Lytechinus pictus: one gene and its partners. The protein of the gene in region 1 interacts with the protein of each later gene in a biochemical or structural test. Links are inferred from orthologs where the notes say so. Each region holds a gene or a part of one and is shown in the gene's direction. Other genes may lie near its edges. The genes, in order: ubiquitin-conjugating enzyme E2 G2-like, ubiquitin-like modifier-activating enzyme 6, E3 ubiquitin-protein ligase MARCHF6-like and ubiquitin-like modifier-activating enzyme 1.

What was found.
Region 2: the proteins of ubiquitin-conjugating enzyme E2 G2-like (region 1) and ubiquitin-like modifier-activating enzyme 6 form a complex in vitro, tested with the Homo sapiens proteins (2 studies listed by BioGRID, with this or other methods). The link is inferred for Lytechinus pictus from reciprocal best matches to the Homo sapiens genes UBE2G2 and UBA6.
Region 3: the proteins of ubiquitin-conjugating enzyme E2 G2-like (region 1) and E3 ubiquitin-protein ligase MARCHF6-like form a complex in vitro, tested with the Homo sapiens proteins (2 studies listed by BioGRID). The link is inferred for Lytechinus pictus from reciprocal best matches to the Homo sapiens genes UBE2G2 and MARCHF6.
Region 4: of the proteins of ubiquitin-conjugating enzyme E2 G2-like (region 1) and ubiquitin-like modifier-activating enzyme 1, one has a biochemical effect on the other in vitro, tested with the Homo sapiens proteins (5 studies listed by BioGRID, with this or other methods). The link is inferred for Lytechinus pictus from reciprocal best matches to the Homo sapiens genes UBE2G2 and UBA1.

What each region holds. Positions count from the first base shown.
Region 1 is NC_087245.1:12,246,798-12,253,998, forward strand, and holds the start of ubiquitin-conjugating enzyme E2 G2-like, read left to right. Parts: upstream 1-4,182; 5' UTR 4,183-4,443; coding exon 4,444-4,486; intron 4,487-5,661; coding exon 5,662-5,743; intron 5,744-6,963; coding exon 6,964-7,082; intron 7,083-7,201. UniProt on the Homo sapiens protein: Accepts ubiquitin from the E1 complex and catalyzes its covalent attachment to other proteins. In vitro catalyzes 'Lys-48'-linked polyubiquitination. Involved in endoplasmic reticulum-associated degradation (ERAD).
Region 2 is NC_087249.1:23,275,004-23,282,717, reverse strand, and holds the start of ubiquitin-like modifier-activating enzyme 6, read left to right. Parts: upstream 1-4,713; 5' UTR 4,714-4,797; coding exon 4,798-4,800; intron 4,801-4,951; exon of another isoform or gene 4,952-5,006; intron 5,007-6,703; coding exon 6,704-6,804; intron 6,805-7,278; coding exon 7,279-7,373; intron 7,374-7,590; coding exon 7,591-7,619; intron 7,620-7,714. UniProt on the Homo sapiens protein: Activates ubiquitin by first adenylating its C-terminal glycine residue with ATP, and thereafter linking this residue to the side chain of a cysteine residue in E1, yielding a ubiquitin-E1 thioester and free AMP.
Region 3 is NC_087246.1:38,704,468-38,712,318, reverse strand, and holds the start of E3 ubiquitin-protein ligase MARCHF6-like, read left to right. Parts: upstream 1-4,838; 5' UTR 4,839-4,933; intron 4,934-5,631; 5' UTR 5,632-5,680; coding exon 5,681-5,705; intron 5,706-6,215; coding exon 6,216-6,359; intron 6,360-6,690; coding exon 6,691-6,763; intron 6,764-7,851. UniProt on the Homo sapiens protein: Endoplasmic reticulum membrane-associated E3 ubiquitin ligase that plays a critical role in mitigating endoplasmic reticulum stress, the regulation of cholesterol and lipid homeostasis, and ferroptosis.
Region 4 is NC_087247.1:36,375,567-36,382,790, reverse strand, and holds the start of ubiquitin-like modifier-activating enzyme 1, read left to right. Parts: upstream 1-4,224; 5' UTR 4,225-4,709; coding exon 4,710-4,718; intron 4,719-7,224. UniProt on the Homo sapiens protein: Catalyzes the first step in ubiquitin conjugation to mark cellular proteins for degradation through the ubiquitin-proteasome system.

The sequences.
Region 1 (7,201 bases):
GGGACTATCACCTTGGACGATTTAGACAGCGATATGCTGACGTTTGTATTCCATGTAGTTATCTTACTCTAAAAAAATCAATTCATCATGCTAATAATTACATTCTTATTATGGAGACATCATTTTGCTTTGTTAACGAGTATATGGTAATTACATGACTTAAAGGGTTGCCATCTTAGACATCGGCATAATTATATAGGCCTGCATGCATGCAATCTAAACGCCAATGTGGCAGCCCTTTCAGCGACGTTTAAATAGTTTGAATATATAATAGCAGGACTAATGAACTCAAAAGTTTTATATTTTTAGCAAAGTGGATGATGATAATTGGTTATAGTCTCTTGCATGCCATTATAGTTTTAATATTCAATTACACACTTTGGGATAGAGCGTTGCGGATGAACTCTGTTTGTTTATAAAATTGTCATTTCCCTTTTTGTAACATTCTGAAGTGTGTTTTTCCTATTTCAACGTTCAAGATAACGTCTAGGTTGTATTTGGGAATATTCAGTACAATTTATTGTCCGGATTAAAATACCGGACTCATGCAGTAAGAACATCCGAGACCTAGATTCATTTCTTAAAGCGGGTCATATGGCATTCATAATGGCTCTAAAATGTGTTTTTCAAAATGCCCTTGATGCTTATAAAATGTTATCCTCTTGGTTATATCAGAAGTAAAAGCTAGGATTAGAAAAATGATTTTCGGATAGAAAAACATACATGGTTTTCTGCGAATCTGTTTTTCCTTTGTAAAACACATTGCAATCATGTTCCATTTTCCTAATAAGACATCAATCAATTTTTGTCTTCATATATCCGCTTTTCTGTCCATTTTTGTACACTGAGGTTTCTCCATCTGTCATAATGTATATGGTAGGTATAGAAAAGTTAGAGTATTTTCATATTATGAAAAGTTAATCAGATGAATTGTAATGTTTAGTTTAATCTTTCCCCCTTTTGGGGAGGGGATCATTCAGGAAAATCTTCAGAGAATCCTGTGAGCTATGAATAAATAAGTTTGTTTTGATTGGACTGGATTATCATTCATAATTATGATACGTTTTAGTTAATTGATTAATGTGTTGGACATGAAAATGGACTAAAATATCATTCTAAACAAATATGATCTACTACCAAATTATTATAACGTTCACAATTTGCAGGAGGAGGATTGTCATCATAAGCAGATTGCTTGAAAAGAGTTGATAAATAGGTACGTAAGCGGAAGAAATACAAAATAAACTGAGCCTCGATAATTGCTCTTTATTTAACCAAACTTCCCTATAATCATTACATGCATGACCACGATGATATTACGATAATGTTTTAAGAAACTAAAAATACAAAGATTATCAATATGCATTTATATAGGGTAGAGACTGATGTTTATATAGGCATGGGCCTAATGACATATTTATACAGCTGAATTATATAGCTATTAGTCAAAGTCGAACTTTGGTGTAGGGCTCGATTGATTGTTTGTTTGATTGATTGATTGATTGAATAATACTGACTGATTGATTGATTGATATCATTGGTAATCTTACAATCAATATTTCTAAATGTTAAACGTTAATGTTAGTCAGACAATTATTGGAACCAAGAGCTAGTTGTCCACCGGTTAATGGGGGGGGGGGGTATAAAGGCCCGGTATATAGGGAATAGGGTACAAACTGAAACTTTTCTCTCAGGACAGGTTTTCTACACATCTCCCTTGAAAAGAATATAAATGAATGATTATAGGTATCACATTATCAAACGAATTTTGATTGTTTGATCCCTGAAAATTAAAAATGAAACTACTTGAACGTTCCCCAATACATGTACGTAAGGCCATGCACCGCATATCTTACGATTAGTTTGTGACCCGATTTTTGAATAAAAAGCAGTAGAATTTCATGATATCGAGACATGGACTTATGTTCCAAAATCATACAAATACCAATGTTCAAATCTGTGACTATGCTATCATCCTTATATTAGAATAAAAGCGAATTTGATATTTAGTCGTTATGACGTCATAGCATTCGTACGATTGGCTACGATTTGAAACTAATTTGACCTTTACTAAAAAAAAAAAAGGCTTGTAGTTATCCAAATTTGTTATAGTATTCATGCAGTTAATTTGACCCTCAAACAAAAATACTCTTTCATTCACATTTTCGGAAAATGGGCAAAATTCGATTTGTTCAAAAATTTGATCGTGGACCAATCGTGGTGTGCGTTGGCATGGAGATTGATTTATAACAGATTTTTCTTACCAATAAGGCACAAGGATTTAAACATAATTCAGGTCAGCTTGATTGAATTAAGTTTGAGTGACCAGTCGCACCTACTATGTACGTAAATTTCATTAAAAACCGTAAAGACCTTTTTTTTCGAATCTAAAATATCCAAATTCAAATCTCGAAACGGGTCTTTCAAAAAATCAATTTTTCGGCTGCAACATACCAGGATTTATCAGAAATCAAAGAAAATTATCACTCACCTGTCATGTATTCCCTATACTTTCAATCCAACGTACAGTTCAGCTCCTTACGCAAATGGATAATTAAAATGATACCAGCCAACTATTGATTGAGCTTGACACGGCTAAGGCACTAATTAGTAATAGAAACAATGTAAGCGAGTGATTTCGTTTACATGGCGTCTCATTTTGATATCCTTTATGGAGCACCCACGCGATATTATATAGCATGGTACCTTATGGTAAGATAAGAATTTACACGCATACTATAGATTTATCACGTTTCCGTGATGAACGTCATGTAGACACGATTCAAAATGCTTTGCTACCCGTAAGTGATGATAAAATTACCAACTGTAATGAGACTGGCTGTTTACACCAAAAAAAAATAGAATATGATGTACATTCAAAACAGTATCAGATGACAGTCATTGAAAAAAAAATATCAGGAACAGGAGAAATCATCAGGAAGATAGGCCTGTACCTTTGTAAGCTATTTCCCCGACTCCTTCGAAATCGAGGCACTCTGAGAAAACTTTTACCTATATGTCACTCTAGGAGTGATTTAATAAAAGATGCAAAGGGGCTCTCCTTTCTGGACGGTGTTAAACAGGGGCGGATCCAGGATTTTCCAAAGGGGGAGGGGGCACATTTCCCCAATAAAAATTTTGACAAAAAGGTCCTTATTTAAAAGGACCTTTTGGTAAAAATGGCACTTTGGTAAAAATGGCATATTCACATCATAGAGAAGGGGGACACGGGCCGGATGTGCCCCCCCCCCCCCCCCTTCCTGGATCCGCTACTGACTACAGACTTGAGATATTTATATCTCAATAAATAGAGTAAAATTCACAAAGCAAAATGCTGAAAATTTGATCAAAACTTTTTCGGATAACAAATAACGAAGTTATTTGCATTATTCCGGTGAAACAGTTCTAGGCATGTCTTCATGAATATTCATTAGGCGGACGGATGATGCCATATCCCCACTTGTTCTTTTTATTTTGGTATATGAAATTAGGTTTATTTTTTTTCTACCAAGAACTAAAACAATTGGATTGACAACTGATTAAGTGCATTACTGCAACTTATTTCATCATAATATCATTTACACATGAATGAAAAATGAAACAATTATGATTTCATGTAATAACATAAGAAAAAGGAAAGTGGGGATATGACATCATCAGCCCACCTTATGAATATTCATGACGATGTGCATATAACTGTTTTCACAAAATATTGATAAACTTTAAAATTCAATAACTTCGTTATTTGTTATCCGATTTCGATGAAATTTTTATCATTTTGATTTGTGAATTTTACTCTATTTATTTAAATTAACTATTTTCAGCCCGGACCATCCTTTTAAATAAATCTAAAATTGCTCGGCAGTAGTTTCGGTCGGCACTTTGCACATTTCACAGCAGTAAAAAAAAAGTAAATCATTTTTGTTAGAGATAATAATGGAATCAAGATCACGATATCCATGATAGAACGGATTAAAATAATTTGTGCACACTATACTTCGAATTTTCAGCTGATCCAGACCTATTATGCTAAGATTTTTTTATTTTTTCTTGTTTCTTTCTTAATTTTTTTAAGGGAGGGAAGGACATTCAAATATTATAATTTTTTTGTTATTTGGTTGATTTGCTTCAATAAAAATCTAAATATATATATAATGTCAGACCATTTATAAAATAAACTTTAATTCATTTCTGAGTGATAGAGATGATGATGGAGAGATTTGTTTTTATCTCTTTACATGTGTCAGTACTAGTTGCATCAGTTCACGAAATCGCCTCTCATTTTTGCTTTGCAAATAAATCTCTCACGGCTACCTTCCTGAAATAAACATTTGTTGGGCCTAGTTGGGTTTCATCTCCTTGGTTTGTCAATGTCAGTGCAATTGACCCGCAATTGACGTGTCAAAAAACGGGCATATTTTGAGAGAATAATTAGAACTGAATATGGCCGGAGCTGCACTGAAGAGATTAATGGCTGAATATAAACGTGGGTATAACTCATAAATTATATTTGAAGGCTTAAATTTGTATTATTTTAACTGATAACTCGATCTTTATTTATGTGTGGCATATTGCAATTATTGCGTGTGCCCCATTCGTAGATTCCCGTGTTTGTGATTCGATTGTGTCTTGATAAAGTTCTTAAGTTCGTATTTATTGTAGTCCAAGTTCATGGAAATTTTCTTTCCACCAGCATTACAAATATAAATGAAACGGCAACATGTGAGAACATACAAAAATGGTGAATAATACATGTAAAATAGACAAACAAAATTATGAAATTAGTCAAAAAATCAGAAGACAAAATTTTTGGTGGTGGTCGCCAGCTGAGCGGGGGCCCCGGGGGGGGGCACTCGACCAAAAAAGTGGTAGGGGTGTGCCACGGGCGATGCAAAAAACGGGGGCCTTGGAGCGGGTTTATTGTAAAAAGGAGGGTCCTCGGAACGGGCTTCGGAACTACAAATGTTTGTGAAAACGGGGGTCATCGGAACGGATCTCCGTATCTCTGTGAGTGCGTATGCATCCCTATGGAACGGGCAATCGTGCATGACGCAGCTAGCGCGGCCTCCGCCGGGTGCGCTCGCGCTTAGGCGATGGTCGAAAAGCGCTCTACGGCCGCTTTTCACCAAAATTGTAGCAGATCAATGCGACCGGAACGGCGTAACGAAAAATATGCGAAGCTTTGGAGCGGATTTCTTTCTTCTTTTTTCTCGATAAGAAGGAAATGCTATGCCTTGGAGCGGCTTTCTTTGTTCTTTTTCTCAATAAGACAAAAATGCTATGCCTGGGAACGGAAATTTGAGTGTAAAAATGGGGGTCCCCTCCGCGGCACATACCCACTATGCATTATATACTGAGTGCCCCCCCCCCCCCCCCCCCCCCGGGGCGGGGACATGTTTGCTCACCTGTGACCTTTAACTTAAGATTAGGGCATAATCATAAATTTCTTTGAAATTCAATTACTTTTTCACTTTACGTTTAGAATCCATTGTCATGTGATATAATAATGTCGTGAATGTATCGTGTGTGTGATGCTCTAATAATCGATTATGACATTGGATTGTAAAGTTACTCCAATTATCAACTGAAAAAGTTATAAATTTAAACTGCATGCAGACAATAAGTTATGTAGTTTAATGTTTTATTTTATGTCATGAACAGAGCTAACAGTGAACCCTCCAGAGGGTATTATAGCAGGCCCTGTCGATGAAAAAAATTTCTTCGAATGGGAGGCTCTGATTACGTGAGTATTTTCTAAAATCTATTCTTTGCTTTGTCACATAAAGTCTGCTTTCATGATTTTTACATGTATTTGATTATTTTCTTTCGCATTCAGAATATTAGTAGAATATTGTTCTATGATATAACAAACAAAAACTTGTAATGAATTATCTTGTTGACAATGAATGGTAAATGCGAACCTCTAATTATTCCCAGCTAAATTACCAAACGTACATGCAAGTATTCTGTAGTAAAAGAACTACTGTTGTTACTAAAGATTTTTAAACCATCACAACAAAAATACAATGTTATAAAGCAGGATGGGATATTGATAACATACATTTGAATATTTGGAATATGAAGAAAGATGGAGGTGATGGAGATGAGATGATTGCAGAGTTGAAACTACATGTAAATCATTGACTCACTATCGTACTTTAAATGAATCAACATTGAACTTTTTCAAAGCCATCAGGGGCAATTCCACGAATACAGAATTGGTTGGTGGGGGAATATGGGGCATTATTTTTTACCAGTATTACAAAATACTCTTCAATTATTATTATTTTTAATTAAAGGTCAAGTCCACCCAGAGTAATTTTAATTTGAATAAATAGAGAAAAATCAAACTGGCATAACGCTGAAAATTTCATCAAAATTGGATGTTAAAATAAGAAAGTTACGACATTTTAAATTTTCGCTTATATTTAAAAAAACAGTGATATGCACAATTAAGTGACATTCAAATGAGACAGTCGATGATGTCTTTCACTCACTATTTCTTTTTTTTATTGTTTGAATGATACAATATTTCATTTTATACATATTTGACAATATGGACCATCTTTGACTTAACCATATAGTATTAAACAATGCTAATTCCACATTTTCAGGGAGGAATTCAACATTGTTTTACTTGACAATGAGGAGAAAATAAGAATATTTCATATTTCATAAATACAAAGGAAGTAATGAGTGGATGACATCATCGGTCTCCTCATTTGCATACCGACCAGGAAAGTCAGCAAAACTTTAAATTATCATAACTTTCTTATTTTACATCCGATTTTGATGAAATTTTCAGTGTTATGCTCGCTAGATTTTTGTCTTTTTACTTTTGACTAGTCCTTTAATGGGCCTGCTACCACTGAGCCACCATTTTGGTTGAGGCTACATGTAGAACTCGTTTTCCTATGTTGAAAGCATATATTTTTCTCCACCGATCATATCTCCCATCATCAGGGGTCCAGAAGGTACATGCTTTGAGGGTGGTGTCTTCCAGACAGAACTGAAGTTTCCCAATGACTATCCACTCAACCCTCCTAAGATGCGATTCAAGACAGAGATGTTTCATCCAAATAGTAAGAGGCTTCAGTTTCAAGGATATCTTTGAAGATTTTGGACAATGATATGTGTCTTACTTATTTTCCTTTAGCTATCACTAATGAACCGAATCTTAAATTATGACATGAACTTACCT
Region 2 (7,714 bases), on another chromosome or scaffold:
CAAGTCCACCCCATAAAAAGTTGATTTGAATAAAAAGAGAAAAAATCCAACAAGAATAATACTGAAAAATTAAATCAAAATCAGAAAGTTATGACATTTTTAAGTCTCGCTTTATAATTTTCACAAAACAGTTATATTCACATCTTGGACAGGTATGCAAATGAGGGGACTGATGACATCACTCACTATTTCTTTTGTATTTTATTATATGAAATATTGAATATTCCAATTATATCCCTGTTGTCCTGTGAAACAAAGTTTTGTTCCTCCCTGAACATGTGGTATTACCTTTGTTTTAACAATTTATGGTTCGATCAATTCAGTCCTTATTGTCAAATCTGTAAAAATTGAAATACATTTTATAATTCAAACAATATCATACAAAAATGGTGAATGAGGGACATCAACACTCTCATTTGCATGTCCGAGTCGTGCATATAACTGTTTTGTGAAAAATAATGGAAACTTCGTAACTTTCTCATTTTACTTCAGATTTTGATGAAATTTTCACCGTTGTGCTTGTTAGAGTTTTTCGCTATTTATAAAAATCAAAAATTTTCTGGGGTGGACTTGTCCTTTAAAAATAATATCATAAAAATGACAAAATTAGGATGTTTCTGATTCATTTTTTAAACATTGGAAAAGCATTTCTAAAAATAAGTTTTGTTAAAATATTTGAGAAGCATAATCATAATCATGACATTTCGAGAATGATGTTTTATGTTATTGTCATATTCTACCAACATTATTTTTTTCACATAATGTATAACATTATAAAAACGATGATAGTAAAATGAATTTATTTCTTAAATGATCAGATGATGTTATATCATAAATATGTATTAAAACAATATTTTCTCTCTTTTTTGAAAATACTATAAAGCAGTTTCAGTTCTGACATTCTAAGAACGTTTGATGTCATTGATATGATACTAGTATTACAACCTTTTAAAACTAGCACATCAATGATGTGGAGCTCATCCAGCATCTCGCAACGATATTTAACACAATTTTAATTTCATCCCAGTTGACGTCACTGTAGTGAATTATATTGGTGACATAAATTGAGGATATAGAATTGAAATTGATGAAGAAATTACATAGAAGCTTTTTTGTGATCTATATGAATAAATTTTATATAAATTAGCATGAATAATTTTCTAGTCAACATTTCTAAACTCTGTGTAGAACCTTGGTGAACCTCATGTAGCTCTCAGACGGAACAAAAATAATCAACAAATAAATAAGTTATTTTTTTTAGTTGAAAATATATAAATAACTTAGCATATTTCATGAGTTTCAAAATTCTGTGTTGAAATTTTGTATCACCACCTAAAGCGATCATATAAGGCAAAGAAAATTAAAATTGATCAACAAATGATGTACAGGTTTGGTGAACCTCATGCAGATCTACCAGATGGAAAAAAAAATCAAAATCGGTCAACAAATAAGAAGACGCATTTCCTGTTGATTTATGAATAAATTTCGCATAAATTAGCATAAAATTTTTCCTACTCAAAATTTCAAAATTCTGTGTAGAAATTTGGTGAACCTCATGAAGTGCTACCAAAAGGAAGCCGAAATAGGTCAACAAATAACGAAGGAGAAGCATTTTTTTGTGAATTTTGAAAAATGCGCATAAATTAGCATATTTAATGAGTTTCAAAATTCTGTGTAGAAGGTTTGAATCCCCCACCTAATGCTATCATATCAAAAGCAAACAGAATTAAAATCAGACTTGAAATGACGAAGCGGGCAGCATTTTGAAATTCAGTCAACAAATAAAGAAGAGGCATTTTCTGTGATTTATGAATTTCGCATAAGTTAGCATAAATAATTTTCTACTCCGGCCAAATTTCAAAATTTTGTGTAGAAGTTTGGTGACCTTCATGAAGCTCTACCAGATGGAAGCAAACAATTCAAAATCGGTCAACTAATTAAGAAGAAGCATTTTTTGTGAATTTTTAAAAATGCGCATAAATTAGCATATTTAATGAGTTTCAAAATTCTATGAAGAAGTTTTGAATCCCCTACCTAGTGCTATCATATAAAGCAAACAGAATTGATTCCGGACTAGAAATAGCGAAGAAGAAGCATTTTGAAACGCGGACGCCACGCCACGGCATAAGCTCATCTAGTCCTTCGGGCCGGATGAGTTAAAAATCATAGATCCCAATAACTTTATCAAAATGTCAGCAAAATACAAAAAAATGTTAAAATTATACTACTAAAAATAAGGATGTTTCTAATACATTTTAAAATATTTTTGGAAATTATATTTCAAAAATGTTTTGTTGAACGGTTGATGTTATTGTCATAATATTCTTACAACATTTTAAAATGTTTATTTTACATCAAATGTATAACCTTACAAAAATGTTAGTAGTATTATCAAGTTTCTGAAAAAATTATATTCATATCATCATAAAACATTGAAAAACATGTTAATGATACATTTAATTAACGCTTTTGAAAAATATTAGGAATTTTTTTTTTCAAGAACGTTAAGTCAAAATGATACATAAACATATAGTTTCATAACATTTATTATCACATCCAATGTACGTACATGTATATAACATTATAAAATTGTATATCTGTTTTGTTTCTCAACAATTTATGTTAAAATTATCAGGATGTTTCTAATATATTTTTTAAAGTTAACATTTTGGAAAACACTTGAAAACATTTTTCAAGAATGCTTTGTTGAGATGTTGTTAAACCATATTTCATATCGATCATTTCATTTCAAGTATTCTAACAACATTTTCAAAATGCTATTTTTACATCCAGTACATGTAGATGTCAATAAAATGTTATTGTGTTCCTATCAAAATGTTAATTCAATATGGCAAAAACAGCAAAATTATCATGTATCTACTATATTTAAGAAAATCATAACATTTTTTGTTTTGTCGAAATATTTTGATAACAAACATTCATGACTTTTTTATCATCATCATAGTCATAACATCGAACGTTTGAAAAAAAAATATTCACATTAATTATGTAACATTATAAAAACGTTAGAAAAATATCATTTTTTTTCATCAACTAACGGGGTAAAGATCTATGTAACATTTAGGAAAATATATCTGCTTGGCATCATAATATTAACGTTTATTTCATGTTTAACATCAGGGGAATATTGTTTCATTAATGTTATACAAATGTTCTTAAAAATTTATTTTGAAAGCATTTCTAGGATCTTTCATGAATGTTATTATATTAGCTGGGTATGGACATGGATGTCCACAGTATGGACATGGATGTCCATAGTATGGACATGGATGTCCATAGTATGGAATACACTGCAAACACATGCATATCAAACCATCTCCAAACCATGGAGCTATATATAGCTCCATATACAAAAACCACTGACTGCCCCTTATCATGGAGGTCAGGAGGTCATTTCATGGAAGCAACATGGTCCTGGTTTTCGTAGTCTAGTCTTATAAACTGTAATTCTTATTCCACGGATGAAATCATTGGGTAAGAGAAAAAACATTTCAATAGAACAAAATGTGAATATCAAATTATCATGGTGGTATATGTCTATTCTGTAGAACATCGGTCACATCTGTGTATTTTCATCGTCCTTTGGGGTAAACTTGTATTTGAGTGGAGGCAAAAGTTTGGTACAAGAGACTAGTCGTACCTGTAGGCCACTGGTCTGGTTTCCCCTGACCCTCCACTGCCCATTGACCACGATGGGGGTGGGGGCCAGGATCTGTTGATGCTGCCTGAGCCAGAGATGTTTACCAGCTGTTGCCTCCTTGTGACTGGTGTAGTCTACTTATTCAAACTTTGATACTTGGTTCATGGGTGGAATCATTTGGCGAGAGAGGAAGGCGCTGAATAGATATTTTTTAAGTGCATGAACACGGAGCCTTATGTTTACAGTGTAAAAAAACCCCACAACTTTGCATTTTTCACCCTGTTAGAGGTGAAGTTGTTTTGGGTAAAAATGTGTCTTGTTTGGTGTGTGAGACTAGGGCACCTGACCCCCTACCGTGTAACTTGTTTGATTGATGCCTAGCTTTTCTGGTACAGCAAAGTTTTGTACTGGACCTTGTTGGGGAGGGAAGATAAGTGGATTGGCGCTGATTAGAGATTGGGAGACATGTGCCCTCTATGTTAGCTTTGGGAAAAAGCACTTCCAAACAACAAGGTCCAATCTGGACTAGGGCAGTGGCGGACCGTGACCCAGAGGAGACAAAGCATTGGAGGGGCGCAGCATTGTTCACTTACAATACAGTGCCCCTCCAATGCTTTGTCTCCTCGGGTCACGGTCCGCCACTGCCCAGGGGGACGCGTCCCCCCCCCCCTCCCCTACTCAAAATAGTAGGGGGACACAATATCAAATGCCCCCATACTATTTTTGGTATTTTGTGATGAAAAGAAATACTTCATTAAAAATCGAAATGTATTTTGGACGAGATGACCTTACTTTTGGGATGACTTTACTTTTTTTTTTGCTTGTCAAATTTATTTTAGTCGAAATGACCTTGCATATTTGGGGTGATAACCTTTTTTTTCTTTCTTTCTTTGCTTGTCAATTTGTCCAGCCCATTGTCCCCCTACCTTTTGGGAGAGATTTCCGCCCCTGCCAAATAGGGATCTTCGCTCAAGATTATCGTCTCAGCTCAGCTAACTACCCTTAGCTCGAATATTGGCGCAGAAAATGATGTGATGTGCCCGTCTCTGCAGCGACGGTGAAGTAGGGCCTACTTTGTATCCACTCATCCAGGAACGAGGTTATATGCTTTGTATCATTTATTAATAGCTCTGAGGATGGTAAGTGTTCTTTTCGTCAGTTCTATAATTCTATGTGTAGAACCTATAACATATTTTAGATAGACTCTATGGCTAGTGCTCCAAAAATGAAGAAACAATTGCGGTATAACATAACATTTGTTCTGTGTTTTATTAGTATTGTCTTGTTCAAAGACTATTATTGGATACCCTTCCCCGTGTCGGAAATCCCCGAATCTGTAATAAGTGTAAGTTGCAAGTTTAGATGAAATAGTTGGATTAATGTTTTACTGTTATTATCTATGCATTCTGATGTTTTGTGTTATTCTAGTGTAGTTCAGTTCAGAAGTCGTAAGTAGGTCTAATGGGCCTGCATATTATAATGAATGTCGACTTATGTATTGCAATTTTAGGTCTGGTCCCGTTCGTTTCATTTCGTGTGGGGATTAAAAAGGACGCTGGGCGCGGGTTGGTCGCGGCCGCGGTCTGAAAATGAGGATTGTCATAGAAGAATATATACGAAGAAGGAGAATATGAAAATGAAAAGGAACGAATGTGGAGAAGAATATAAAATGAAGAAAAGGAGGAAGAAGAAGAAAAAAGAAGAATATAAAATGAAGAAAAGGAGGAAGAAGAAGAAAAAAGAACAAATAGTGGAAGAGCAGAGGAAAATTAAAACTAAGTAAAGGCTGCCTAAGCCTAAGGCATGCAAGGCCAAGGGAAATACTAAAAATTAAAATCTAAATATAAGGAAAGAAATATATAAAAAAGGAAGGAAAGAGATAAAAAGAATAAAGATGAGAGAGTGATAAAAACAAATGGAAGAAGAAAAAAAAATCAAATGGAAAAAAAAGATTTATGGCATTGTCAGTTTTACCAACTATATGGTAGGGAAACACTTGATCTGGAAACAAACATGATTTGTATATTCACCATCACAATACAATCCTGCTAGAGATACATTTGAAAGGCAGGGATGGTGTTATGTCATTGCAAAATCTATGTTGGTACCCATTATTTTAAACATATATTGAAGTTCTCCCTCAATCTCATCAAACCCTAAAACTCTAATTTTACCAATTTTGTGACATCTGTCTTTGTTGATTCTTTGCAACACACATTCCAAAGAAAAAAAGCTTTTATTAATATCATTATGAGAAAACATGAAATCTCATTATTTCATGATCTGCATTTTAGTTAACCTGTCTAGTTGTTTTTTAATCAACCAGAGCTCTCAAAATTTGTATTATTTTGTTTTATATTTGAAGCCCTTTTATGGTTGAAATTCAGAAATCAATTACACAACTTGTCCTTTCCTCTGTTTTTGTATTAAACTAGTTCAAGGAAATGAAGTTGGCCTTCATTTGATGTATAACTGCAGCATGGCCTGATTAAATCAAGCATTTACCTACTAGATCAAGAGAAAGTAGGAAAAAAGATTATCCTAATATTACCAGACACCATCAACCAGTGTGTTGGTTTGGCAGGCAATATTATTATAACCTTGTACATTAGATGAATTGTGGAAGTGGGAAACCTGGCAGGTGATATACTCATTAGTCTGGTCAGTTTTTGTTTTTCTCATTTCCAATGAAAAGATGACCAAATCCACAGAGCTGTCATGAAAAAACAAAACAAAGTATTATATTTGCAATAAAAATGTTATGGCATTAAGGCATTTATTTCTGATTTTTAATCAGCGTCCCCATAACGGACCATACTCCGCTCATAGTCCATGAAGAGGGTCTGTAATGCTAACTACATTTTGATATAACTCCAGTGATTTATTTATGGAGACTTTTTGATAACAGGGGGCTTTAATTTTAAATGCAATAAGAATAAAATATGCTTGCAGATGATTTTATGAAGCATAGCTTAAAAATGCTAGAATTGTTACACAGTTAACTAAAATGATGTTATTTCATTTTATTTTTACTTTGTACAGAAAGAAACTTCACCTAAACACAGTCTTGCCCCCAGCAATCTGCCAGCACCCAAGCATATCAAGATGCCTGTTAATGAAGACATAGATGACAGCTTGTACAGGTTTGTTAATCCTACTCTGTTTCTTCTGCTAATATCCAGTTATAATCAATTATTGCAAAGTTAAAGTGAAAGACAAAGTTTAAAATACATACATGTATTTTCAACTCATGAAGGGTCGAGTACAACAGAATATGAAGAGAAGATTTACTATTGAAAGACCTTTGATTTGGGAGATTATGTGATCAAGGCAAGTTTGACTTGGGCAAGGTTGACTATATTCATAATCAAAGCCTTTATCACAGCCAGTCTTGCATTTCTCTACATGTGGTCTGTGAGTGAAGCATTTTGTTAAAGTCAGTGAGTCGCATACATATATTCTCACTTTTTATATCATGCTGGCCTAGTGGCCCTCTGTTGATCAGATTAAATAATAAAATTGTCACTTTTACAAGACTTATAAGTGGGAGGCTAAGTTTAATTTTCTTTAATGTAGTACTTGATGCTCCCCCTTTTTGTCTCTTTCCTTTATAATAGCCGCCAGCGCTATGTTCTTGGAGACAGTGCCATGAAGCAGATGGCACATTCTAATGTCTTCCTCAGTGGTCTTGGTGGAATAGGCATAGAAATTGGTAAATATTCAGGTTTCCATCTTTTTCTATGAAATACATACACAAATTAATTATTATTAATAGTCAACGGTTTGTAGGTTCATTTTTGAAAACTTTTTTTCAATTTCATTCCAGTAGTAATTCAGGTCACAGTATTTAACATTACACATCTTGATTTGATTAAGATTATTCATGCATCTTGCCCTCAAACTGTCTTTTGCTCTATCTTTCCATACAGCTAAGAACATTGTCCTGGCAGGTATAAAGGTAAGGATCAGTCAAATGTTTGAATACTTTTCTTAATTTCTACTAAACATCTTGTCCCTGGTTTTCATTATAAAGCTTAATTGTAATAATTGGTG
Region 3 (7,851 bases), on another chromosome or scaffold:
TGAAAAGAATAAATTAAGCAATTTCAAGTTATTTCAATATTCTGAATTTTATTGAATGCTTATTTCCAATGATAATTTTGCAAATTATGCTTTAGATCTAGATCTCGTCTAAATGTTATTTTGTTGAGGTAACAATAGGGTTTGAATAGATCTAGATCTAGAGTGAACAAAACCAATGCAGAACTTCTAAACCCATGTTTTCTTTAATTTTTAAATGCATTTTGATAACCTTTATCTAATGATAAAGCATGCCGGTCCATTTCAATATTTCAAGTTTGGTTAAAAAATTGGAAAAGGGGTGGAAGAAAAATGAGAGAGAAATAATGGGAAACATACCAAAAAAAATTGTTTGGACCTAGATTACCCCGGAGAAGTTAAATCGACATCAGTTTTGGGTCGTCTTGCCAGGCAATTAGATGACCTGAAAAGTGATGCCAACCCCCAAACAAAAAATAACTTGGCACCATCCCAGATAAACTGCATCAGCGTGCAATTGAATGGAAAAAAAAATTTAAAAGGGGATATGTTAGGGTGGCTTGCTGTATCTTACTTTACATTTTCTCTATATGCCGACGGTGGCGGGCGGTGTGCAAAGAAGATCATGCCTACATAGGACATGTCTGGAAATGTCTTTCCAAGGACCAAATTGGCTTCGTGAAACAGTTGAGCGATATCACGTTCTTACGTAGAGCGGTTATACCAAACACCCTTTCATGCAACAGGCCCCTGCATTACCTCAGGCTCAGTCCTGTTTGGTCACTACCGCTACACTATGCTACACCTACCCGAACCACCAGGGCACATTCAACAGATTGACACTCCCAGTCAGTGACAAGGTGTGTCACTTTATGTTGCTGAACAAAACCAAGTCATGCAAAAACATGACCTTACATGTGATCGACTACAACTCATCTTAATACATTTTCAACCTGTTTCACTTGTTTCTATAGTATCAGTCTTAGGGACAGTGATTTTCCGTTTAAAAAAATTGCCTTTTCCGTTTCAGAAAATCTTAAATTCTGTTTCAGCATGTCAGAAAACGGAAATTCTGTTTCCCCATAGATTTTGTGTACATAAAAAATTAACGATTCGGTTTACCCATTCAGTAGCAATAACACAACACTCGCGCTGGTCAAAATTTGTATCTGCCACTGAACCAACAACGCAGTAGAATCTGCTCTAATCGGATCTATGCGGGTACACAAAATATTTTGACAAACACATTTAACATTAATACATCCTCACCTTTCACATTTTTAGCATTATTTTACGGTTGAATGAAATTTTTTCGATAATTTTGGGGTTTTTTGGACATCGTTTTGAGCAGTCAACAATTTCGTTCTATCCGCCATTTTGGATTTCAAGATCGTGCTGTTACATCTTCAAACATGGGCAGCAACACACGACCTGCATGTGAATGTTTTCGATACGGCCGATCGACCGTACCCTGCCGGCGCGGCCGGGAAGGACCGGGGCGAGGGGTACGATTGAGTGTGATGGAGTGAAGAGCAGTCACGATGTGTGGATTGTCATGATCGTAGTGAAGTGAGATCGTGTTTTGTGAGGTTTTGTGGCCATTTAATATTCGTATTTTGTTGAGATTTTGGAGTAATATATGTTGCTGTTCTGTGTATTCTGAGGAAAAATATGTTTTCCGTGATTTTCCGTTTGAAATGTCACTTTCCGTTTCAAAAGGCCATTTCCGTGAATTCCGTCCGCTTTCCGCGATCGCGGAAAATCACTGTCCCTACAGTCTCAAAATCTGTGATTTAAAAGCCAGTTGCTACTTCCTCACCATTAGACACTGCCGATTCCAAAACATCGCAAACGCAAATTGCGCATGCGTGGAGATCGTGGCTCAAGACATATATGAATATTGTGTTCCTATAGATTGGGATCATTTCGCTATTTGCATATTCATACTTATGGATTCTTCTGAATGTAGTCTTAACCCTTTGAACCCTAAATTCTTCGGGGCCGCCATGACCCGTACCCTTAATAATTTGCACGTATCAACCAACAGTATCTTCCCCTTGCTATTACCCGGACCGGGCCGGCTGAAGTTGTTAAGCTTCTCGTAGACCTAGACTACAGACAGAAATATAAACTTTAGTGTCTGTTTTGGGCTCAAAATCACTGTTCTGACTAAAGTCAGATTTATCAATAGCTTCCCCATCTAGTCAGCACATGACTCGCCGCATATTTCACCGGTGTTGGATGTGCCCTGATGGTTCGGGTAGGTGTAGCATAGTGTAGCGGTATTGAAGTGTAGTGGAGCCTACATGAACCATCACCTGAGGTACATCTGCATAGACCGATTAGGTCTATTTATGTCAGGGTTATGCTCTGCTGAGACTTCGTCTGGCTCCATGGTATCCTTTCAGTCAATACACCGATGACAGCCATTGGGCTCGTAATGGTTGAACTTCGACTGATGCTTAACTACAGGGTCTATGGAGAAAAGGCATCAGTCATTGTTTTGAGGTGCATGTGAATAGGCGCTATACTTGGAAACTATAGTAGTGCTGCAAGTTAGGCGGCATGTTCGGGTTCGGTTCGGCGTGGTTCGGCACTTTTTGTCCAAGCTTTGGGGTCTAGCAAAGTATGACTAAATAAATTACAAAATTATTTTTTAAATGACCGCCAATCCTGAGCCAACAGAACATTTTTCATAACGACGGTCTGGCATATAATGGTTATGAAAATTGTTGTTTGATTTCCTTTTTTTTTTTTTTTTTTTAATCAAAACTAGAAGTCCTTTCTTATTTTATTTTCAAATTGAATAGAATTGCCAAAGAAAAAAAATATTGAAAATGGGATAATGAGGATTGAATCAAAATTTCACATAGATATGATTATGATACATCACAATGTCATAGCAAACGCAGCCACCTTGATCGGGAAGAGTACTGATTGGGAATGTTGAAACACGAGAGGAACAACCTCCAGTCAACTGCTATTATACTGGTAAAATTAATAATTCAATGAATATGAAATGTTTTCGAAGTCCATATGTTCTTAAAAGTGGTTTAATCTGGTCAATTGATTATTTTAAAAAGATAAATTATCAGTCCATTCTTAGTCCTGAAAGATTGACGCTAAGTGACTTCAAGCACATTTCCAACACGAAAATGAGACTGTATATTTTAGTGTTGTGAAATCACTACGCGTCAACCTTTCAGGACCAAAACGGAACTGATTATTAATTTTTTTTTTTAGCAGTTGACCAGATTAAACCGCTTTTGTCTCACCTGCTTAGCAGAGCGAGACTATACGCACCGCTTTTCCGACGGCGGCGGCGTCAACATTGAAATCTTAACCCGAAATTGACAGGGCTACAATGTATATGAGATGTTTTGAGGACTGGGGGGGGGCCATAATGGCCCCCTCCCCTTCTGATCTCGGCCGCTGTTCGCGCGATCGCGCCAAAATTTGGCTCGCACATTCTTTTCCACATAAACTACAAGCCAGTACAAAAAAAAATTCTGAAAACGATTATTTTTTATAATTTGTTATAAATGAAATTTGCAAATTTATTTGTGAAAAACATTTGCATAGTTAACACTCAATTTCATTTCAAATTTTTTTTTTTTTTTCAGACTCATCTTTTAATCAAATTTAAAGGTTTCCACGAAGAAAAATTTCAAAAGTGAATTTTTTCCTTATGTATTTCTTTGTTTTTTCATCTTTTGCTTTTCATTGTTTTTTTTCAATGGAAATTATTACAGACCATTTAACAACTAAATTAAACCCTAAATATTTAAGCAGACCAATTAGAATGAAAAATAATCACCTTTTATGAATTTCATCTCCCGTATAGACTTTGTACACAAAGTATAAAAATTAGCCATTTTCGGCATGACATTGTCACGTAAAAAGTCGCGTGGCGTCGAGATGCTATACCCGTATGTCGCGAATTTGGTCTCAAAAGTTGTGCGAGACTTCAAAAAAAAAAAGTCATAAAATTTTGCGGCGTTATCTTTTTTCATTTCAGAAATATCGTGCGAAGCGTTGAGGGGGGGGGCATCATGGCCCCCCAGTCCTTTTAGGGTTTGAAATGTCATCATAACTTAGAAAGTATATGGATCTACATGTAGTTCATGAAACTTGGACATAAGGGTAATCATGTATTACTGAACATCCTTCCTGAGTTTCAGGTCACATGACCAAAGATCATTTAGGGTCAATGAACTTAGACCATGTTAGGGGAATCAATATTGAAATCTTAACCAAGGTTAAGGTTTTGAAATGTTGTCATAACTTAGAAAGTATATGGAGCTAGTGCATGAAACTTGGGTAATGGTATATCCCTGAAGATCCTGCCTGAGTTTCAGGTCACATGACCAAGCTCAAAGGTCACTTAGGGTCAAACTTTGGCCATGTTGGGGGTATTCCATATTGATTAAATTCAATCGCAGGAATCTTGATTGTTTTAATCATTCAATTGTACTTACCCTGGCGAACAATCAAATGGCAAAAAGCGATATGTGAATGTTGATTACTGGTGCTTTCACATGATTGGTGAATGAACAATTAACATAATTCCAACCTGTTTTATCATTATTGTTATTTCTATGCAGCAAAAACACTGATCATGATTGATTTCACTTAAGTTGCAAAGTTACATTTTGGTACATTTTTAACATTATAATTTTTTTCACAATCAAGAAAAAAATTTGTGCCATAGAGGGCTTTATGCTTCCAACTGGTTGCTTCTTCGGACTGCGTTGTGAGATAATTTTCTCAGTTGTGAAGAAATCTGAAAGCCACAATCAGATGAATCTCATACAGGAGTCAAGACCATTTTATGAAAATATGAACTTATTTTCTTTTCAGATGTATGTAGAGTATGCAGGTCAGAAGGTGGCCATGAGCGACCTCTATTTCATCCATGTATTTGCACTGGTAGTATTCGCTACATTCATCAAGATTGGTAGGTATTACATCAATATAGGCATGAGTTTTTGATGAGGTTCATGACCGTCCTCTATTATTTTCAATGATTGTCTTTTGAATAAATGGAAATTGGTATATGTTATAAAAGTCTTGTATATACATAGATCTGTTTTATTAAGATGAGTTTGAATTAAGAAAAAATATAATAGAAACAATCAGATAGGGAATGCAAAGATATATTTAAATCCAATATCTATGCATTGATATACACGATATATATCTATGCATTGATATCCTACATTGATTCCAGAGCCCTGGGCTACTGCAGATCCAAGCTAATTTATTGCTGTACAGTGTATTGTATTTTTTGTAGATTTTTTGTCAAGCTCAGGTTAGTTAACTTACTTAACTGCATAGTATATTAAATCTTTGCAATTTCTGAATGTTCTGCTTTTGATATTTAATGAATTTCCCATTATTTGATTGAAGATAAAATAGAATACCAATGACAGATGGAAGTATTCTGAAAATAACTAAAAGCTAGTAATAGTAGAAATAATTACCACTATCAGAATAATGTTTGATAGATCGATTACCTACTCCTTCGGTCAATAAATAAATTTGTGTGACTCCCTCCCTCCCCTTCTCCTCTCTATCCTTTCTGTGATTCCCATTCTCTTTTTACTGTATCTTTTCTCCTCCCTTTCTCAAATATTCTTATTTTCCCCCATTTAGTCTGGTGCAATGGCTAAAACACAGCAAGAAGGAATATTGTGAGCTATGCATGCACAAGTTCACTTTTGCCCCAAGTAAGTCCATGTACAGTGTTATTGTTTTAGTTTGAACTTATTGTTTATTTAATAAATAATGAAAGATAATTTCAATTATCAAAGTATGTAAATGTTAAGGTACACTCATATATGAAAATGTGATACAGAGCCAGAATATTAACTCTGGTCTTAAATTTTGGAGTATTTCAGGCTGAAAATGAGAGTTTTAGTTAATTGATTTAACTTAAAATTTAAAGAGCAAGCACTGAAATTTTCATCAAGATATAACTTTTAGAAATTCTTGAACTTAATAAAGTAATTTTTTTTAAATGTTTTGGTGAAACCATTATCTGCATGTTATCATGAATATGTGCAATAAGCAAGCTAATGATATATTATATCTCCACAATTATTATGTTATTATATGAAAATCTGTTAAACTATTTTTTTCCAAATTTTGTATTGTGCCTTCTGGATTTGGTGCATTTTAACTGATGTGACTTGATTAAAATTTAAAAATTCATATATATGTCTTGTTTTTCTTTGAAGTATACTCTCCTGACATGCCCCCTCGCTTGCCCCTCCGTGACATTGTATGGGGTCTTGTAAGGAACTTTGGTACAGCTGTACTCTGTTGGATCCACTATACCATGGTCATCTTTGCTTGGCTTGGCATTGTTCCTGTTACAGCAAGTATGTCAAGTTATCTTCCTTAATATTAAGCAAAGTTTCAATAAAATCTGTTAAATCATTGTATGTAATTTGATGTTTTTAATTATCTGAATATTTAATTATGTAGACAAGATTTTATTTTTATAATGTGCAATTATAATGATTATTCATTTTTTATTCATTCATCTGTATACTGGTATTCATTATTCAGTTATTTCTCAATAGACATGTGAGTATCCCATTATTCAGCGATGATTTATATTTCTAGCTTCAGATTACCTATTAGCATACCATTTCCCTACTTGTATAAGTCTTATCTACCTTTATCAGCCTTTCTTTCATTTGCCTTTAGGTCGTATATATGGCTGCCTCTTCAATACATCCCTCGCTCCCGTGTTGTCCTTGCCATTTGATATCTTCTCTTTGTAAGTATTCAATCCAGTGCATCAATGAGTACCTCTTGCTGCTAACATTATGTGCTATCAAGTTACATATCAAAGTCATTACAAGAAAATCAGTTCAATTCAGTTTATTTTTCTCAGCATAAAAACAACAATATGAATAGTACAAACATGACATATATCTTATCTACGGCTGACCCATAGTTCCCTCTGATAGAAGTAAATTACATTAAGATTTTTTGTGTAAGAATGTAAAGGCCTGTTGTATTCGACCAGGAAGATTCCATAGAAGCCTTGCGTTTGTATTGCATGTAACATAATCCATATGTGAATAGTGCACTCAAGGTTATTTACAGTGATGCAAAAAATATCAGGAGACATTCTCATTACATTGCAGATTTGCCTGGGTCACCACTATCATCACAAACTTAAACCTTTGTATCATTTATTTGATGTTATAAAGCTGATTGTCAATTTGAATAAACATGGCCCCAAAAATTGGTTACCAATGTGAATTTTCAAGAATCCCACAGTTATTACTTAAAGAAAAAGTCCACCCTAACAATCTTATTTGAATAAATAAAGGAAAATCAAACAAGCATAACACTGACAAGTTCATCAAACTTCGATATGAAATAAGAAAGTTATGATATTTTAAAAATTTGCTTGATTTCAAAATCATTGTGTACATCCTGGTCAGTATGCAAAGGGGGAACTGATGTCACTCACTTTTTCCTTTTGTATTATACTTGTAGTTTTAAACCAGGTTTGATTCCTCTTTGATCATGTGTATTAATTGTTATTTTGATACGTATTATGGTTCAATAAATACCTTCGTTATTGTCCAAACTTCAAATTGAAATATTCTATATATTAGATTTATTATGAAAAATGTTGAAGGGGCTATATAAGCCCCCCCCCCTCCTGCCCCTGGCTATATAAGGATAAGGCAAAAAACTAGTATTTTATTTTCGGGGGCTACCTTTCACAATCTCATGGCTAAATCTGCAACATTGCAGGCCCAGAGGAGCGGTGTAATTAACTCGGGATAATACCCAAAACATCTTGAATATCTATTTCATGGACAATTCATCTGCTTATATATTTGCCGT
Region 4 (7,224 bases), on another chromosome or scaffold:
GTAAAGGATGTGTATTCATTATGATGGAATAACTTGCGGCAATAAATAGCTCATGCTCTTAATCAGTGTCAATCCAATTGTTTCATTTCTTGGTAGAACATTTTTTAATAAACCCAATTTCATATAATAAAATACAAAAGAACAAGTGGGGATATGACATCATCAGCCCACCTAATGAATATTTATGAGACGTGCCTAGAACTGTTTCACTGGAATAATGCAAATCTTTAAAATTTGATAACTTCGTTATTTGTCATCCAATTTTGATCAAATTTTCAGCATTTTGCTTTGTGAATTTTACTATATTTATTGAGATATAAATATATCCAGCCTGGACCATCTCTTTAATAATTATATTACATACAAGATAGAAATCTAAAAAAAATCCTGAAGGGTTAGAGTGCCAAATTAATAGGGGTTGAATAACATGTAGCGATAAAAATGCTCCCTTCTCTCAGTATTAAAAAAATAATATCTCATTGAAATTAAACGTGGAATAATTTCCCCCTCAATAGCTCTGAATTGCATTTGTGATTGAGTGATAAAAAGGAAAAAATAAAACCCAGATAGGTTTGAATTTGTTGTGGTCCTGACCTAACTCTTGAAATCATTGCAACAGATTTTTTTAGATGAATACTTTGTAGCTAAACATGGATTTGTTCTAATGTATTTGCCCCATACTTAGCTCCTCACCTGTTCCCTGTTGCATAAAGGTTACTATTATGGCAACTTTTGCATTCAATGGTAACTTCCATCATTCCATGGAATCCTTGATTCTGATTTGCTGTTGAGCATCGTTGCCATGGTAGTTACAATTGGATGGCAAAGTTTTCATGATACTAACTTTTATGCAATGGGGCCCTGATGGTATATCAACAACTTTAGATGAGCCAATTTTATTTAAAAGAAATATGACCTGGGGTGTTTCACAATGACTTAGAATCACACTTAAAATGCCTAGTTGCGTGTGTTAGAAAAGGCATGACCGCATTGGTTAGATCATGCCAAGAGGACACGCCCTATACTGTCTATATTAATCAATAAGATTTGATTTTGATTTATTCTATTTAAACACGGTAAAAAGCCCTCGATCAGCCAATGGCTGGTTTTCAGAGAGGCCGTGCAATACACAAACAATATAAGAAAAACAAATCAATAAAAATAAGTAAAACTAAAACCTATATACAAAACCAAAGAGGGAGGATGAAAGAAAACAGAAAAACAAAATCAAAACAGAAAAAACAAGAACACAATTGTAAAAAAAAAGGATTATCAAGATTTCAGGACTTTTTCAATTTCAGATTCAAATAAATTTAGATTTGGTAAAGTGCGAATACGTTCTGTCAAGTATGGCAAGATATAGGCTGCTATTTCGTGCAAAGTCTGTTTTGGGTGTTTTAAGGTTTATTATATTGTTTGAGTTACGGAGTGTGAGGGTAGAATGTTGCTTAAGACTAATCCTATTACATATAAAATGCGGTAAAGCTTATTGAGTAACATAAATATTAATACAAGTGCTTGTTTTTTCCATCTAAGGACGATTGGTTCAGCATTCAATTTGGTGTATAATGCTGATGTGCTAAACAAGGAATCAACTTTTAGCACAATTCGAAGGGCCCTATTCTGCATCACAATATAAGACGATTGATTTTGGTTTTCCCTGCATTTCTCCAAATATTATGAACAATCATCAAAGTGGGGTAGAATAAGACATTTGTACAATGACATAGCAGTATCTTGAGATATATATGGTCTCACGCGTTTTAAACAGTATAGACTTGAAGTAATTTTGCATTTCATTTTATCAATTTGGTCATTCCACGTTATATAATATTCATTTAGTACCACACCGAGATATTTACATTTGTGCATATTACGTTTTATAGGAAAGTTGATTTAACTTGATCTGAAGATTGCGCTTTGCATATCATAATAATATGTGTCGGTATATAACTGCGACTATAAGTCATACGTATATACACCTTTGTGAAACACCCCAGGTGCTCTTAGATGGTGCAGTTGGCTGTTAAACCATCCAGGTCCAAAGTGGTTATAATATGAATACTGCTATGGTATGTCAGGCAAGCGCATAGAGACAACTGTAACCCAATTAGCCACACCTCAAAGTATTGAAAGGATCGAGGACAGCCCCCCCCCCCCCTGCTACCGGCAAGATGTCTTCTAAAAATAAGATGTGGTTTGGGTCAAGTGCACTGTCTTACCAAGAGACTCGTGCTCTAGCTAACTTTCCTGGGAGAGAGGACTTCTCAGGAACGTTCTTGTGGGAATCTTACATTTGGAACTGTCTGCTTTGGAAAGGAATTCACAACTTGCCATTGAATATATACTGCAAAGGTTTTGTAACACAGCAAACTCTTGTGGATTGAGAGAGGCGCGTTAGGTATCTAAGTAGTGAAAGCAGTGACCCAGGCAATGGAAAAAGATTATCTTATACCGAGGTTTTTTACCTGACTGCTAAATAAGCACGAATGCCTGTGAACAAGCAACCAGGGGACCAACGGCTTAAGGTCCTCTCCGAGGGACCTGGTAATGAGGATAAATGCCTTACCAAAGGGCACTAGCGCACCACTTGGGAATCGAACCCGGGTCACCGGAATCCGAAACCCCCGCTACACTCAGTTTGGTGATGCAACAACTCCTGTCCACCTCCCCCCCCCCCCCCATCCCTACGCCTTGAAGATACTCTACTAGATAGCGTATCAATTAAAAAAAAAACACTTTGAAAAAGTCCTGCCAATTCTAAAATTTACAAAAATAATGGGAGTAACTTTTTGACATATATTCTTGAGCTAGACCTATTCTGTCAGATTCCAGTATGATGATTGCCCAAATATATATTTTTTATACTTGAAATGAAATATCGTATAATTCAAACAATGAGTGAGCGAGCCGCATCATCGTCTGTCTATATAGGTCACTGAAATGTGATCAATATAAGCGAAACTATAAAATATTATATCTTTCTTATTTTACATCCGATTTTGATGAAATTTTCAGTGTGCTGCTATAGATTTTTCTCTATTTGGCTTCAAATAAAAATTTTCTGGGGTGGACTTGACTTTTAATAAAACAAATCCGTACTTGTTCATTCATGACGTCAAGTTAATGAAGGGGGAAATGAATTTCTGTATTTCTTTTATTTTTTAGGCCTGTCAGGAATTTATGTATGTTTGGCCCCTCTCGATGATGTTTCTTTTACCCCCTTTTACCACAACCGCAGGCGGACGCGGCGCCTCCGCATTTGCTTCGGACTGATAGCATTTGTCTATTAAAAGACCATGACATCAGCATTAACCTCCCCTTCAAATTAAATTCCTTTGAGCGTTTACTCATCAACGCTCAGGGGAAAGGATAGTCATATCATGTAAGTACATGTTTAACAATTGATAGCTTATTGGCCTTTATAGTTATCTCTTTTTTAATGTTCCTAGAGTATTCAAACATTTGCTTGGTCCCTATATTGATTCCGAAAAAAGATTATATCTTCGAGGCCGAATGATAATCCAGTGATGAGTTGGACCCAAGACTATAGCTGTAGATCATATCATGGGGTTCAACCATAATACTGAAAAAACAACAACAACATAGTCGGCGCTGATGAAATTCCCATATCTTATATTCTAAACCGGGACTATAAATGATACTAAATATAGGCCTCATTTATAGGCAGGCCTACTATCATTAATTCAATCGTTCCAGTGATCCCATTCTTCATCTTTTAACGTAGTACATGACATAATTATCTGTATACGAGATACGCGTAGGCCTCTACGCAAAAATATGTGTCTTCCGTATATCACTGGCAATATATTTGGGGTCTATCTCACTCCATATACTACCAAACCAAATAGATATACTGTCTTGTACACGTCGTTTAGCCTCGCTACCGAACGTTGGTCGGTCAAATTGAGAAGAAAACTCTCAGAAATGCAATTTTACCAATTGTTCTTGTCTACATACTTATCAACTTTTTAAATCAAGAGATAATTTGATTGTAATTCGAGCAAGTCCTAGACTGCATTTGGGTTGCTTTGGTAAGTATACTACATGTATGATAATTTTGTACAATACTAAAAATGTTGCAAGCCACATTTCCCTGCAGCTGGTCACGTGAGCTTGCGCCGGGTTATAATTATAACCGGTGAACAATGCACTATCCGAGAAATTGTCGCTGAGGTTGAGAGGTATGACTTTGTCTCTTTCGTTATGATTTTCGAGTAGAATATGCAATATTGGTCAGAACATTCTACAGAAAGTACTATATAGACATCATAGAATGCACATTAGCAATAACACATTATTTTTACCACTGAATCTAGCGTTATTTCTTATATGAATTACCATAACCACGTGTGATATCGCGACAAGCCGACATTCACCGACTAACGTTAGACTTCGTTCATTGCTTGATTTCGTGTACGGTGTAGAAATACTTGCTATGTCACTCAGCTCATAATGATAGTGTGTCATGCATACAGTGTGTGTATGTGTGTGAATGAAGCAGAGCTGTGTGTTGCGTGATCCGTGGATATCGATGAAAAAGTGAATTTAGTCCAACTCCGAGTCCGACCTATTCCTAACTTAAGCTATCACAGATGGTCTGAGTTTAAGACATTCTCGTATCTGTCAACATGTTAAATTGGCGAGATCAATAACAATTTCTACAAACACTCAAAAAAAAATTTGAAATGAAAATGGTACGTACAAGGGAAAAAATATTACTTTAGTTTAACTTTAAGTTAGTCTTTATTACCACTTTATTACCTTTATTACCGGATCTACTGGAAAAATGCAATTACTTTATGCTCTCTAAAATTATTACATTGATTGAAAACTATCAATAACATTGTGTAGTTTGAGGTCCATAATATATGATAATCCATTTTACAAAGACGATCTTGTCACTCGTACATAAGAAAAAAAGGTTGCTTTCTTGAAAATATCGAGTTTCGCAGGATCTGACTTCCGGGTTTTATTTTCTCTTATCATTGCTATAACAATAACATCAATTTTCTGTCTTTCCGAGCATGATTTCGAGTGCGAAAAGGTCTTTTGATGCTGAAAATATGAAACGGGTGAGCAAAATTGTATGTGTTTTTAAATTGATTTTTCGTTTGCATAATTTATGAATATTATCAATTTTTGTTCGGCCTTTATTTATCTTTTATTTCTCAGGCGACGTTTTCTTAAAGCCGACATGAATAAAGGAAGGTTTTTTTCTTTGGGCGATGGTAATTTTCTTCAAAAGTGTGTCACATATCGTTCTGAAAGTTTAAACGCAAGGCGATGTCAGACCAATGAGTCATAATTTTTCTTGAATTTGAGTGAGAATGAACTGGCATAAATAATGACCCTTTTGAAAATTTTGTTTGATATGAATAACGATACGTACCTCTAATGAATAACAAAAGTCGCATTCAACTTGTGGGTGAAATGAATGGCCCGAATTGGTCGAATGGATCAAGCTCTGTGTGTCTCTAGTGCAGTGGTCATCGGTAGAACATGTATAAGAGCTGGGGAATCTGCACGTGGCGTATGTGCCTGGTGTGCAATTACAATTCATGTGCAATCATCGTGTGAAGCCTAAGGAGACAAAGGGGGTTCGTAAGCCCCCTCTTCAAATATTTTTTTATACAGCAAATGGGTTACATCAGGGACGGAAGGGGTATTTCTCTTTCCAAATATAGTATCTTGACACCAGAAGGTGTATCCAGGATTTTACAAAGGGGGGGGGGGCACATTTTCCAGAGGAAAAATTTGACAAGCAAAAAAAATAAAGTCTTCACTTTCGAAGGGGGGGCACACTTCACACTTGTGTTTTTTCGGCATTTTTATATTACAAATTTTATTTGTGCCTCTCAAGGGGGGGGGGGGGGGGGCACGGCTGACTGTGCCCCCTGGATCTGCCATTGCTTGACACCAGAGGTTAGTTACAAGTTATAACCCCTCCCCTTTTAAATGTTTCATTTTAATGCTTGCAAGTAAAATATTTTCATGCCCCACTTAAAACTTTGGGAAGCCTGCAGCATGCCTCCTGTACATGACCAGTGGAGGATCCAAGGGGGGGGGCACATCCACCCACCCCTTGAGAGCCATTATCAAAATTTAAATGTAAAATGCTGCTTTTACATGTGTGCCCCCCTTTGAAAGTCACAGCATAATATTTTTAATAGGAATATTTTCAATATTTTTTGCTTTTCAAATTTTACCTGGACGAAATTATATGCATTTTTAGGTAAAAAAATTTTATTTTTGCTTGTCAAATTTTTCATCCAAAAAGGAAAATGTGCCCTCCCCTTGCACCTTGCACTTGCACATTCAGCCACTCTCGTGATCACATGACACACGCACACACAGCATATACACATATCATTCAGCATTGCTGGAGTCATAGAGGTACATGTATGGTGCAACTTGCAAATTAGTGTTGGGAGTAGTGAGAGCCAAAAACATTATCTCATGAATAAATTAGCATAAATATGCTCACCCCCCATTTCTCCTCCAAAGATCATGATATGGCAACAAAAATTTACAAGATGGTAGAAAAATGACATTAACTACTTGATTGTAGAGGTCAGGCCTGAGATTCTCCCGATATTTTTTCACCAACATAGGTGGTCTCTGAGATCGATGTAAATCTGGTATGAAATGAAGGGGGGTTAGGGTGTCTATTTTCAATGCCTTATTCGCAAAAATTGCTAGAAAATGAAGGGCACATTGCGCCCAAATTCACACAAAGTTATAAGTTCTGGCAACTTGCTGTCGTTACTTTTTATGAAAATTGCAGTCATGCATTCGAAAACTTGATTCTTCGACGGCTATTTGAAGTTTGATGTTGTTTGAAGTTTATCGCACACGGTCGGTATTGATCATGGGCGCTGCCATTTTGTATTACCGTACCCACCAGACCGTCGTGCGTTACAGTGGGGGAAACAGCGTGTACTCGGTGCGCGCGCGATGGCTGCATTCAATTCATGCAGGCGCTAGGATAACCCAGGGAACTTCGGCCCTTGAAACGGGCGGGAGCTCCCTGGGTTATCGCGCTAGGCGTGATTACGGTGATTTGTCAATACGGGAGTTCTTTCGTGCGAGCGAAAAAACTAGAAAAGTTTGTGAAAAATTATGGCTTTTCAACGGAAATTTCTTGATTGAGGTGAAGAGGCGAGGGTGAAAGGGATCGACACTTCAGTTCGTGAGAAATGG